2 linked regions of the Saccharomyces cerevisiae S288C genome follow. The protein of the gene in region 2 interacts with the protein of the main gene of each other region in a pairwise test. Each region holds a gene or a part of one and is shown on either strand. Other genes may lie near its edges. The genes, in order: BUR2 and SGV1.

Region 1 (6,721 bases), on a different chromosome or scaffold from region 2:
TCACCGAAGTTAAAAAAAATATTATAGGTTTGTCCTATGTTAGAATTGTGGAAAGGGAGGAATGTAATAAATAAGCAGTAATTAAATATAGCCTTTTGAAGAGTTCCTCCTTTTAATTTCTTGTAGCAAGTGTTTCGAATGTATTCAAATATTACCAATGATTATACAAATACTTACAGCAAGTCAATTAAAGAGCCGTAAAAGCTAAACGTCAAAACGTGTAAAGCACCTATTATCTAGTCTCTTTTCCCTAGTTGTACTTTAAATCAATTTAGTGATGAGATGAAAAAAAAAAAAAAAAAAAAAAGAATTCCAACGAAAAAGAAACGACGGGCAGGGCAACCTTTAGAGATTTCAATCCGTATAAAGAGATGTAGTAGGCAGTACGGGTAACATCGTCACAATTCATAATGGAACTATCTAGCTTTTGCTTGATTGCAAAGTTCTACACCCGTTGATACTTCAAACATCTTTGCAATACGTAGGTAGGGGTCGCGTACTAGCAGCCTCCTAGTTAAGTGTATCTTTCAATCGCATTACGGAACAACTAGGCATCCCGAACCCCACACGGAAAAATCGGAACAATAACTGAAAATTTCCTTTTTCTTTTTTTTGCTCTTCAAAGTCTCTGCCCCTCTATTGCGTACTCGATTGATTTTTTTATCAAAGGCCATCTCAGACAAGTAGATCTACATTGGAGTTTCTCATAATATTATCACTATCGGAAGGTAGCATAACCTTTAATAGAGTTTCCGCTGTTTGCTTGGCTCGTTTTTTTGTTTGTACTATGCCTATTGGCGCAAAGAAGACAGAGTGTGCAAACAAGAGATGAATCAGAGCGATAGCAGCTTGATGGATTTACCACTGGAGATACATTTATCATTACTAGAGTACGTGCCTAATGAACTTCGTGCTGTCAATAAATACTTCTACGTTTTGCATAACCACAGCTATAAGGAGAAGAGTTTGGCGTGGATAGCTGAGGACAACTATATATGGGCCGTTGTCAAACATTCATTATGTTTATATGTCAAGAGTTTGGACCCACTTCGACAGCATGCCAGAGAAATCATTCAAGAAACGAAGGAACCAGGTTTTAATGTGCCACTGTGCATGACTAAATACATCGCAGATTCTTGGTATATTGTATACAATGCGCTGCAATATCCTGGAAAGATAATTAATATGGGATGGGACAAATATACCAAAAGTCAAGATTCAAATGGTTCTGATTCTACCAGTAACTTTAATAGTCGGCCCAAGGAAAGAACTCTTATGCAGTCGTTGACAGCTTTACCTGTTAACTTTTGGTCCAGGAGGAAGGACGAGCCTACACCGGTAAACGTTTGGTTTTATGTAAAAAATGCGCACGTTGCCAGATACATACCGAAAATTATTACGGAAATAGGCATATGCAACTATGGGCCGAAGCAGATCGTGGCAAGTGCAGGATATATCAACGAATTGATAACATCTGAAGGAATATACTGTGTTAACCTAGGCCACCTTCCCAGGCTATACGATGAGCAAATTTTTGAAGGCACTGGAACGACACATCTTCCCCTGGAACTGAAAGCTATCGACAGGACAGATTCAGATGTTTGTATCAATGGTGATTTAGTTCTACTCGGTTATGACTTTATTCCATATCAGATATCGAAGCCGTGGTTACTCTTTAGAATCGAACCCGTAAATAGCATTGAAGCAATCTTCAACTATAGTGAATGTTCTTTTTCATACCAGTTTGCATGGAGTTTGGCCTGCTTACAATCTGAAGAGAAAATTTCATTTCCTAGAGACACGATAATTGGGCACGGTTTACCTTACAAGCCATCCAAATTGATAAGAATTTTCGTCTACAAGCATCCGGAACAAAAGCAAGATCTTGGTCAAGAAATAGCATTGCCCAACTGGAATACCCCTTATCTTCGAAGATGAAAAAAAAATTTATCAATTAGTCTATAATATATGTGTATATACGTCTATGCACCTACCTACTTATAAATGGATATAATATTCTTGCAATGATGAAAATATGTATAGTCAAATTTCATTTTTTTCAATTGATAAATGTACTTTCAATGATGGAAACTCCTTCATCGTCATCGAATTTAGACTTCTGGCAGAATTGGTAAATGAATGGCTTCATGTTTGCCAGATTTTCAGCAATAGACCTAATGAAAGCGGGCAGCTCACTCATTATATCGTACCTATTGACTAATCTTAAATTAGATTCTTCAAAACCACGCGGAAATGAAATGGATGTAGGATATTTCCAACCATTTTGCTTATCCTCTTTTGTAGATGGAAATTTAACAGCATGATCATTTACACTTGACCCGACCTCCAAAATTTTGTCCTTATCACTAACCGCCCATATAGTCACTGTAGTGCTGCCATATTCTTTTGTTGTGGTGAATTCAATACACATCATCGAACGCTTCTCACCATTGAAACAAAGAAAATTCCATTTACTAGCCGCCTTATTGGGTATTAGCCCCTGGACAGCATCCAGATACAACATAGGCGTGTCCTTCAAGTCCAGCTTCACAGGTTTATCGTTTTTCTTGTATGAGATGGTACCATTGCAAAAACCTCTAGGAACAAAAACATGTCTTATCATTTTTCTGGACGTACTAGAAGAGTCTCTTTTTGCTAACTCTTCCAAGCTGATGCTCTTGTCAAGGTAATAATTGGAACCGTCCGGGTTTATTATGAATCCTTCTTGTAAATTTACGGTAATGTCAACCTTCAAATCTTTTAGTAAACAGCTTGTACTTCCCTTCGGAATATCTATCTTAATTAATAATTGAGCAAATCCACTGGAGGAAGAATTTTCCAAAGGTACGAAGTGAAACGTAACATTGTCCGATTCAACTTTTAACGTATCAAAATCTTTGATATTATCAATTTTAAAGCTTTCCCATATATCAATGTCTTCTTCAGAGTTTTCCTCACTGCTGGCTTTAAATATTTTGAAATTTAACTGAAAACCTTTGTATATACCGCCCATAACACTGGAATATAATAGTTGAATTAATCCACATTTGCCGTTGGTGAGATCCGTAAAATACAGAGTTTGTGTCTCTATTCTTGTTTCCGTTGGATTTCTTACTGCTTTTAATAAACTATGTGACTTGAACTTTTTGTGATTTGACGTCCTGCAAAACCATTCTAGTTTCGATGTATCCTGAAATTTAGTATAATTAGCATGATCCTTCTCGGATAAAACTTCCTTAACGGGGGCAAATTTCGTCTTCTCCTTTTTGATCGCAACCGCCATTTTTTCTTTGCTCTATGATTTTTATGTTAATTAAACTGTTCGTTGCCCTAAAATTTTGAAAATTTCTCGAATATTTAGAGAGAATCCGTCACTATTTTAGTATCTATCTTGTCTATTTATATATAAAATCTCATTCCCCTGTTATGGTTTTTGCCAAGCCCTATCCCAAAAAACCAAATGATACATGATAAACCTATTTATCCTCTTTAACAGACCTATCGTTTAAAGCTTTTTTATTGCAAACCCTATTCATTATGGCTTTTTGACCTAGGTCTCATTGTGACTTCTATTTTTCACTGTTCAGTAAAAAAAGAAAAGTGATTAAAAAGTATCACTATTTCTGTTAGAAAGCAAGTAGCTATTTTGATTGGTAATTATATACACATATTGAAGGAGGCCGTAGTATTTTCGTTTAAAATATATTACAGTAAGATAATGTCTGCTACATCTTCAAGTGGTGACGTGAAAAAATTTCAAGCTGTACCAAAACCAACGAGCAATGCATCACCACCACCAGCATCGAGTGGGTTTAACGCAAGGACCCTATGGCCGGATTTGATAGAAACACCAGAAAACCAGTGGGTTTTTGAGTGCAAAGATATTATTGAAAAGATAGGCACTAATGGACCGATAGCAGTGGAAATAAAAAAAAATATGGAAAAATGCTTAATGTACTTTTACACACTTAAAAAAAAATTAAATCTTTTTGATCACACCTATACGGCATCATGCATTCTATTTTACAGGTATTGGTTCATATATGGAATACCTACAGCCATAACTGAATGTATTCATATATCACAGGGAATTCTGGTCACCGCTTGCAAAACAATGGAGAATAATAGGCCTATAGAGGCCTATATTAAGGCGACTTGTGAGTTTTTGATGCAAAATATACCGTCTTTAAAAAGTCGAACAAATATTGATAAACTTAAATGGGAATTTAGAGATAAGTTAGTGACGAATGAAAAAAAAATACTATGTTTATTTGGCTTTGACTTAAATATCAGTAATCCAAAAGAATTGATTGAAGAAGTGTTCAGTGGCTATTATAGATTCAACAGGGATCACAATCTGCCAGAAAACTTTAAAAAAGCTTTTCCAAAAATTCTTCAAGAATCAAGAAATTTTATGGTCCAAGCTGTCACCCAGCCAGTTTCTTTATTGTGCGACGGTTATACGTTCATTGTACTATCTCTCATATACTGTGGTTTAGAGTATAAAAAGCTTGTAGACAAAGATTTCAGATATCCGAAAAACTTCTTCAAGGATAGATTCCCTATCGAAGTAACGCCGGAAAATTTTGCCAATATCTTTACCGATTACAAGTTACTGGAAGAGAATTTTTTCAACTTAAAAAGTAATAAAGGTGCTAAATTACAAATTGATTCAAGCATGATTGATTCGGTGATTGACGAAAGTGGCGATGTGGAAAATGAAGTTTCAGAAATCTCTGATCCGTTTAACTACGAGTTGATTAAATCCGGTGAGGTGAAGGAAGAGTTTTTGAATCATATTGAAACAAGGGTTAAAGATTTACTAGATAAGGCTAAACAAGAAAGTATGAAGAGAAAGGCTAAAGATCCTATAAGAACCCCAGATGCCAAAAAACCTAAAATATAAAAATAGAGTACAAGTTATGTTTAATTGGAGGGATCAGTAAAGGTTTGATATATACGTGACAAAATGTCCGGCAAGTTCCCTATGTTATCCTGATAGCAATATTTCCAATACTCAATCCAATGATCATCTGTTTCTGGATCTTTAGGTGAGTCAAAGCGCAGTTTCTGCTTCAATTTTGTTTTCATCTTGTCTATTATTATTCTGGGATGTCTGAATTGGTAAGTTCGGGGATGATAATCGTCCAGAGATTCTGAACAGTCATTATCTTCGGATATTTTTTCAGCAACAAGTAATTTCCCCTCCATAGCAGTCAACAGTACCTTAGGTAGTTGGTAGTCAGTTACTTCATCAGGATTGTCACAAGCATCAATAATATTTTCGATGATACATAAGCATTCTATGGTCAATTTATCCATTTCAGATGATGCTTCGAATGTGTATTCATTATCTTGCATATAGTATAGTTTTAATACATAAAAAAACTGGATAACTTTAAATTGAACACCTGATGAAAGTAATAAGCCTTCCAGAATTTTATTCAAGCAGCATATAATCTGAGGGTCATTTTTAAGTTTGAAAGTTATTGACAGAATATTTTTTTGAATTGTTTCATTCATGTGGTTACTATCTACTAATAGTCCGATTCTGGGACCGAACACATCACATTCACACTCCCAAATTTTTCCTCTCAGAATGGCTAACATTTCTTCGATTTCTGCACAATACTGAAAAAACTGACTAAAAACAAAATTTTCATTGACCTTTGAAAATTTAAGCGTTATCTTATCCATCGCATCGAAAGCGACGCAGTATAACGCCTCAATAACATCTACCTCGTCGAGTGACCAGTGCCATTGAAGTGACTTGGTCTCCTCATTTAAATCGAAGCCATGGGAATAATTAGGGTTTTGTCTTTTGATAAAATTTTTTAGATTATTGCCTACCAATGCTTCATTTTCTTTCAAATCAATTAGAAAACAGTGGCAACACAACATGGATATAAATAGTTCGCAAAGTTCATAAAAAGCTCCAATTTGCTCGTCTGCGATACTTGCAAATAGTCTTGTCCTTTTTGAGTACGCAATGAATTGTAAGCACCAGCGAAAAGATTGAAATGCGAGGTTATAATTTTTATCTACATGACCAAATACTCCTTGAAATAATTTTATATATAGTACCAGTTTTAATTTATTCATTGTCTCTGGATCGGCTTTATCTTTCTTCATTATCTTGATGATATGTTTTGGACCCATCGCAAGATTAAAGTTTAAAATTTTGGCCAGCGCTTCTTTCAGAAGGTTATTGGTTTGAATCCTTAATGGTGAACCTTTTTTCATGATCGAAAGATTATAAAAAACTACATGGTACGGAATATAAAGAGCCAAAAAGTCCCTTATCAAATCACCATTATATGCTTGTAAATTTAGGATAGTCTTCACAGCTTTTTTAAATTCTTTTCTTAAACTTTTTTTAAAAGTTTGATAGTCGACGTCTTTATTCATTATACGTGAGCCGACAATTTGTGACTATGATCAATAAATAGGGCATATATGTACAATTTTGTTTGTATTTCCTCCTGTTGGAGATGAGTAGTAACATAATCATGGGTAAATCGTCTTCTCTGTGACAGCGCAAACCTTTACGCCCAATAAAAATTTGACAGAAAAATTCTCTATAGTGCCGGGGCACTTCATTCAAATTTAGTAAATAGAACTTTTGTGGCAATGGACAGGTTCAGCTACTGCATTTCATATGCGAATTCGCTGCTATACCAGTTTTGTGGCCCCAAAATCACCCGGCAGACAGGGTCTGGTA
Region 2 (7,612 bases):
GCGGAAATCAGCATCGCTAAAGAAAAGCAGAAATAGAAGCAGAAGAGATAGATATAACTACAGAGTTAGAGAAGATCAGTAGACCAATAAGCGGGATTATCATAAAACTCGAGTTTATATTAGCTTTCATCTGTCTTTAGGAAAATAATACCATAATAAAAAGGACACATCATGGCTCCACCAAAGAAAACCGTAAAGAAGATGGACCTTACGTCATTTTTAAATGATGACACCTTTGGTTCATCTTGGGCTGAAGAAGATGTCGATTTGAATAAGATCACAATTCCTATTGAAACCGCTAATGCAAACACTATTCCATTGTCCGAATTGGCTCATGCTAAAAACAACAGCAATAACACGCGTTCAGGCGGCTTTGGTGGCAGTTTTGGAGGTAGATCTAGATTAGACCCTGCTTTGGGGGGCGGTTCTTCCGATAGAAGAGAGGAATACCCTGTTCCAGATGCTCCACCATATAGGGCTGTCATAAACAACATTCCATGGGATATTACCCCAGAGGGTGTTCAAGCCTGGGTTGAAGATGGTTTAGTTAAGCCTGAAGCGGTTGAAGAAGTTGTTTTGCCAAAGAATCTAAGAGACCCAACAAGATTAAAGGGTAATGCTTTCGTTACTTTGAAAGAAAGAGCAGATTTGGTCGCCGTTCTGAAGTTCAACGGTACTAAATTGAATGAGAGAACTGTTTACGTTTCTGTTGCGGCTCCAAGAAGAGGGGGAGGTGCAGATGTTGATTGGAGTAGTGCTAGAGGCTCCAATTTCCAAGGTGATGGAAGAGAAGATGCACCAGATCTTGATTGGGGTGCCGCTAGAGGTTCTAACTTCAGAGGTCCAAGAAGAGAAAGAGAAGAAGTTGATATTGACTGGACTGCTGCAAGAGGTTCCAATTTCCAAGGCTCTTCCAGACCACCAAGAAGAGAAAGAGAAGAAGTTGATATCGACTGGAGCGCTGCAAGAGGCTCCAATTTCCAAGGCTCTTCCAGACCACCAAGAAGAGAAAGAGAAGAGCCAGATATTGACTGGAGTGCAGCTAGAGGCTCTAACTTTCAAAGCTCCTCGAGGCCACCAAGAAGAGAAAGAGAAGAGCCAGATATTGACTGGAGTGCAGCCAGAGGTTCCAACTTCCAAAGCTCCTCAAGACCACCAAGAAGAGAAAGAGAAAAGGAAGAACCAGCTTTGGATTGGGGTGCTGCCAGAGGTGCTCAGTTTGGTAAGCCTCAACAAACCAAAAATACCTACAAGGATAGGTCTCTAACTAACAAAAAGACTACTGATGAGCAACCAAAAATCCAGAAGTCTGTTTATGATGTTTTACGTACTGAAGATGATGATGAAGATGAAGAGGCTGAAAAGCAAAATGGAGACGCAAAAGAAAACAAAGTTGATGCGGCAGTTGAAAAGCTACAGGATAAAACTGCTCAATTGACTGTTGAAGATGGTGACAATTGGGAAGTTGTTGGTAAGAAATAGAGTGTTGTATGATGATAAAATGTACATTTGTATTTACTGTTTGCTTTTTTTCTTTCTTGTTTTTCTACTCTCCTTTCTACCAGGTATTCTAACTCTATTATATAATTAAAAAAAAAATAACCATATATTTTGTATTAAGTTTCATACATGTGTTCAAGTGTATTTTTGGATTTATCATTTTTCTATGTGAGGTAAGTTTTTGAATGTCCCATTTTCCTTTCGTTTTTGGAAAGTTCTAAGAAAAAGCATTAACAATTAAAAAAAAAAAAAAAATCTAAATAATACTGATAGAAATATCAAATATAAACTACTAATATCGGTAATATTCAAAAGAAGAAGCATGACTATAAGCGAAGCTCGTCTATCACCGCAAGTCAATCTTCTCCCAATAAAGAGGCACTCAAACGAAGAGGTAGAGGAGACTGCAGCGATTCTAAAAAAGCGTACTATAGATAATGAAAAGTGTAAAGACAGCGACCCTGGTTTTGGTTCCCTTCAAAGAAGGTTACTGCAGCAACTTTATGGCACACTTCCTACGGACGAAAAGATAATCTTCACATATTTACAAGATTGTCAACAAGAGATCGATAGAATCATTAAACAATCCATTATTCAGAAAGAGAGTCATTCAGTAATTCTCGTGGGGCCCAGACAAAGTTACAAAACATACTTATTAGACTATGAACTGTCTTTGTTGCAACAATCTTATAAAGAGCAGTTTATAACTATCAGGTTGAATGGGTTTATTCACTCCGAACAAACAGCTATTAACGGTATAGCAACTCAATTGGAACAGCAGTTGCAGAAAATTCATGGCAGTGAAGAAAAAATTGACGATACTTCATTAGAGACTATTAGCAGTGGTTCTTTGACAGAAGTGTTTGAGAAAATTCTTTTACTCTTAGATTCGACCACGAAGACAAGAAATGAAGATAGTGGTGAGGTTGACAGAGAGAGTATAACAAAGATAACAGTTGTTTTTATATTCGATGAAATTGATACATTTGCTGGGCCTGTGAGGCAAACTTTATTATACAATCTTTTTGACATGGTAGAACATTCTCGGGTACCTGTTTGCATTTTTGGCTGCACAACGAAATTAAATATCTTGGAATATTTAGAAAAGAGGGTAAAGAGTAGATTTTCTCAAAGAGTGATTTATATGCCGCAAATACAGAATCTAGACGATATGGTTGACGCCGTCAGAAATTTACTTACAGTTCGCTCTGAAATCTCCCCCTGGGTTTCACAATGGAATGAAACGTTGGAAAAAGAACTATCCGACCCTCGATCGAATTTGAATAGACATATTAGGATGAATTTCGAAACCTTTAGGTCATTACCTACATTGAAAAATAGCATAATTCCATTAGTAGCGACATCCAAAAATTTTGGTTCACTCTGCACTGCCATAAAATCGTGTTCTTTTCTTGACATATACAATAAGAACCAACTATCTAATAATTTAACAGGAAGGCTCCAATCTTTATCCGATTTAGAGTTAGCCATTTTGATCTCAGCCGCTAGGGTTGCCTTAAGGGCGAAAGACGGATCTTTTAATTTTAATTTAGCTTATGCAGAGTATGAAAAGATGATTAAAGCTATCAACTCCAGAATTCCCACCGTGGCTCCTACTACAAATGTGGGAACAGGTCAAAGTACTTTTTCTATCGACAATACTATCAAACTATGGTTGAAAAAGGACGTCAAGAACGTTTGGGAAAATTTAGTGCAACTGGATTTTTTTACCGAGAAATCAGCCGTTGGTTTGAGAGATAATGCGACCGCAGCATTTTACGCTAGCAATTATCAATTTCAGGGCACCATGATCCCGTTTGACTTGAGAAGTTACCAGATGCAGATCATTCTTCAGGAATTAAGAAGAATTATCCCCAAATCTAATATGTACTACTCCTGGACACAACTGTGAATCTTGGGAACAATATACAGACATTTTATTGGCGGTAGCAACTCTGATATTCCACTGTTCAGCTTTCCTAATAAGTAAGTTCAAGATTATGTGGTCATCGCGTCGAACGGAAATACACCCATACACCAAACCTCTGTGAATTTGAAAAATTCACATATGCATTTAATAGAGCATAGGCAATGTAGAGAGAGAAATTAACAATGGTGAAAAGAAATATTACCAAACACCAGCAAAAGAAATTGTATAGTATTAGCAGTACATTCGTGGTCAAGCAGAATAACAGTAAAATAATATGAGTGATAATGGTTCCCCCGCGGTTCTTCCAAAAACCGAATTTAATAAATACAAAATCGGCAAAGTGAAGAGTACACCAGCCATCCAGCGAGATGCGAAGACTAACTTAACATACATCAAACTAAGAAAAAGAAGTAGTGAGAAAGTTTACGGGTGTACAGTTTTCCAGAATCATTATCGTGAGGATGAAAAATTAGGACAAGGAACATTTGGTGAGGTTTATAAGGGAATTCATTTAGAGACTCAAAGACAAGTGGCAATGAAAAAAATTATAGTTAGCGTTGAAAAAGATCTGTTTCCTATAACTGCACAACGAGAAATTACTATTTTAAAGCGTTTAAACCACAAAAATATTATTAAACTAATCGAAATGGTGTATGACCATTCACCGGATATTACAAATGCGGCATCCAGCAACCTACATAAGTCATTCTACATGATCCTGCCGTATATGGTAGCAGATCTGTCGGGCGTTTTGCATAATCCGAGAATCAACTTAGAGATGTGCGATATAAAGAATATGATGCTACAAATATTAGAAGGCCTAAATTATATTCATTGTGCAAAATTCATGCATAGGGATATAAAGACAGCAAATATTTTGATTGACCACAACGGTGTTTTAAAGCTTGCTGATTTTGGTTTAGCAAGATTATATTATGGCTGTCCTCCAAACTTAAAGTATCCTGGTGGTGCAGGTTCCGGCGCCAAATATACATCAGTAGTCGTAACGAGATGGTATAGAGCACCTGAGTTGGTGCTTGGTGATAAACAGTATACAACAGCTGTTGATATATGGGGTGTCGGATGCGTTTTCGCAGAATTTTTTGAGAAAAAACCTATTTTACAGGGAAAAACGGATATTGATCAGGGACATGTTATTTTCAAACTACTTGGTACACCGACAGAAGAAGATTGGGCCGTGGCTAGATATTTGCCAGGTGCTGAACTAACAACAACTAATTACAAGCCAACGTTGAGGGAAAGATTTGGTAAATATCTAAGTGAAACAGGTCTAGATTTTTTAGGACAGTTGTTAGCGTTAGATCCTTACAAGAGGTTGACCGCTATGTCTGCTAAACACCATCCTTGGTTTAAAGAGGACCCTTTACCATCAGAGAAGATAACATTACCGACGGAAGAAAGTCATGAAGCTGATATTAAGAGGTACAAGGAAGAAATGCACCAATCATTGTCCCAAAGAGTACCTACTGCGCCAAGAGGTCATATAGTTGAAAAGGGTGAATCACCTGTCGTGAAAAATCTTGGGGCGATCCCAAGAGGCCCCAAGAAAGATGACGCAAGTTTTTTGCCTCCATCAAAGAACGTATTGGCTAAGCCGCCTCCTTCGAAAATAAGAGAACTACATCAAAATCCTAGACCGTATCATGTGAACAGCGGATATGCTAAAACTGCGATTCCACCGCCAGCAGCCCCTGCAGGAGTTAATAGATACGGACCCAACAATAGTTCCAGAAATAATCGCTTCAGCGGCAACAGCACTGCACCCAACAACAGCAGGAATCCCGTAAATCGATTTCATCCTGAGACAAATGTCAGCTCTAAATATAATAAAGTACCTTTGCCATTGGGGCCTCAGTCAAGATACCAGGGTAATTCAAATGAGTCCCGGTACAAAAACTCGCCAAATGACTCTAGATATCATAACCCTAGGTACGTGAACAAGCCGGAAACCAACTTCAATAGGCAACCACAGAAATATAGTCGCCAAGAATCCAATGCGCCAATCAATAAAAATTATAATCCTTCAAACGGTTCTCGCAATATGGCTGGTGATCATCATCAAGGCTCGAGACCTTCTCATCCACAATTCCCAATCTCGCCCTCACAGGGGCAGCATCAGCTTACGAGTAAACCAATAGAGAAAAAAAATGGAAGCTTTAAGGATGAAAGAGCGAAACCAGATGAGTCTAAGGAGTTCCAAAATAGTGATATTGCAGATCTATATTAGGTTATACTATTCTCTCTTCCTTTCTGGCCTCGTGGCTAATTACGGAAAGTTGTATACTGACTACTATGTAATCTATCACGTTTTGTCACTGTCTCGCTCTTTTCAAACAATCCATAAAATCGAAACTATTGTCAAAACGTCAGTACATCCTACCTGATAGGGACTGTACCAATGTCAACGTTCGAGTAAGTGATAATAAGGACCGCCTTACCCACCTTCAGGACACTCGGTTTTACACAAGCGTTATCCTGCGCGGATTTTCAATATGAAAACAACTAAGTTTTCCTGTAACATCATATATACCATTTAAAAGAGTGCCAAAAAACCGATAACGATTATTTTAAAGGCGTTTTATATAAGAGAAGAAGTAAAGAGAAAAAAGCGCTTACTAGAAATGGGGAGAAGGGTGCCAAAGAGATAAAAAAAACTCCCAGCTAAGTCACTGGTTCAACGTTCCAAATGGTATCGGAGTATTCCTCGATACAACGATCACTGCTAAAGAAGCCGACGTTTGCAACGCTCAGGACACTCTTTTTTAACCATTCTGACCTTTGATTGTGGAACTCCTGGTCCACTAATTCATGGGTGGCCAGATAGGATTCAAAGTCATCACTGACCAGGTAATAATCGCCGTGGTACTTAATACTGTCGACTAAAGGTTTGAATTCATTTGGATTTTCTGGAGAAAATTGTCCACTTTCAATGTAGGATAAAACAGAATCCAAACTAGATGGTAAATCTTGTGGATGGTATTGATGGTTGTATCTCAATTCTTCGACATTTTCACTTAGGTTACCAAACAAGAAGACATTATCTTCACCAATTTCCCTTGTGATTTCCACATTGGCACCATCAACAGTACCAATAATCAAACCACCGTTCATAACAAACTTCATATTAGAAGTACCAGACGCTTCAGTACCAGCAGTAGAAATATGCTCACTCAAGTCACTTGCTGGAATAATGATTTCAGCCTTAGAAACATTATAATCAGCAACAAAGACAACCTTCAACAAATGCTCAATTGACTCGTCGTTATTAACAATGTCAGCAACACAGTTGATCAATTTTATGATCAGCTTAGCCATGTAGTAACCAGGAGCACTCTTACCACCAAAGATTGAAACCTTGCGTGGATATTTCTTGGCAACTTCTTCGATCGAAGCACCGTTCTTCAGCATATTCTTCATTGCCAGGTAACGGTATATAATACCAAAGACGTTTAGCTGTTGACGCTTATATTCATGAATACGTTTAACTTGCATATCAAACAAGGTGTCGTCCAAATACTCTCTGTTAATGATGTCTACTCCATCATTTTCCTTTTTGATTAAATCTACTAATCTGATCTTATTATTAAGCTTGACTTGGTTCCATTTTTTCAAAAACTCCTTATCTTCAACATATTTTCCCAACTGGGTCAGTTTGGCCATGTCCAACAAATACTCCTCTGTTGGATCGTTAAGGGTTTCACTGATCAGTTTAGCCAATGAAGGGTTAGCTTGCTTCAACCATCTCCTTGGTGTGATACCGTTAGTGACATTGACAAACTTTGATGGACCATAGAACTTGACAAAATCTTTAAATATGGTCGTTTTGATTAATTCAGAGTGCAATTCAGCAACACCATTAACCTTGTGTGAACCAACAATAGCCAAAAAGGCCATTCTGATCTGTCTTTCTGGAGAGTTTTCTTCGATGATGGATATACGAGACAAAAGATCAACATCCTTGGGGAATTTTTTGGCCACATCTTGCAAGAAGAACCAGTTGATATCATATATAATTTCCAAATGTCTGGGTAGCAAATGGCCAAAGAGGCCGACGGGCCATTTTTCCAGGGCCTCTTGCATAACAGTGTGGTTAGTATAAGCAAAAGTCTTGGTCACGATGTCCCAAGCCTCGTGCCAATCTAGTTTTTCTAGATCGACCAA

What was found.
Region 1: the proteins of SGV1 (region 2) and BUR2 interact in binary tests that used the Saccharomyces cerevisiae proteins (3 or more experiments, as listed by UniProt).

Annotation. Positions count from the first base shown.
Region 1 is NC_001144.5:585,636-592,356, forward strand, and holds BUR2 (Bur2p), read left to right. Parts: upstream 1-3,718; coding exon 3,719-4,906; downstream 4,907-6,721. Other genes in the region: UCC1 (Ucc1p), read left to right, coding at 829-1,938; YLR225C (uncharacterized protein), read right to left, coding at 2,060-3,283; ADY4 (Ady4p), read right to left, coding at 4,927-6,408. UniProt on the Saccharomyces cerevisiae protein: Component of the BUR kinase complex involved in transcription regulation.
Region 2 is NC_001148.4:862,515-870,126, reverse strand, and holds SGV1 (cyclin-dependent serine/threonine protein kinase SGV1), read left to right. Parts: upstream 1-3,704; coding exon 3,705-5,678; downstream 5,679-7,612. Other genes in the region: TIF3 (Tif3p), read left to right, coding at 172-1,482; ORC4 (origin recognition complex subunit 4), read left to right, coding at 1,823-3,412; GPH1 (glycogen phosphorylase), read right to left, coding at 6,113-7,612. UniProt on the Saccharomyces cerevisiae protein: Serine/threonine-protein kinase component of the BUR kinase complex involved in transcription regulation.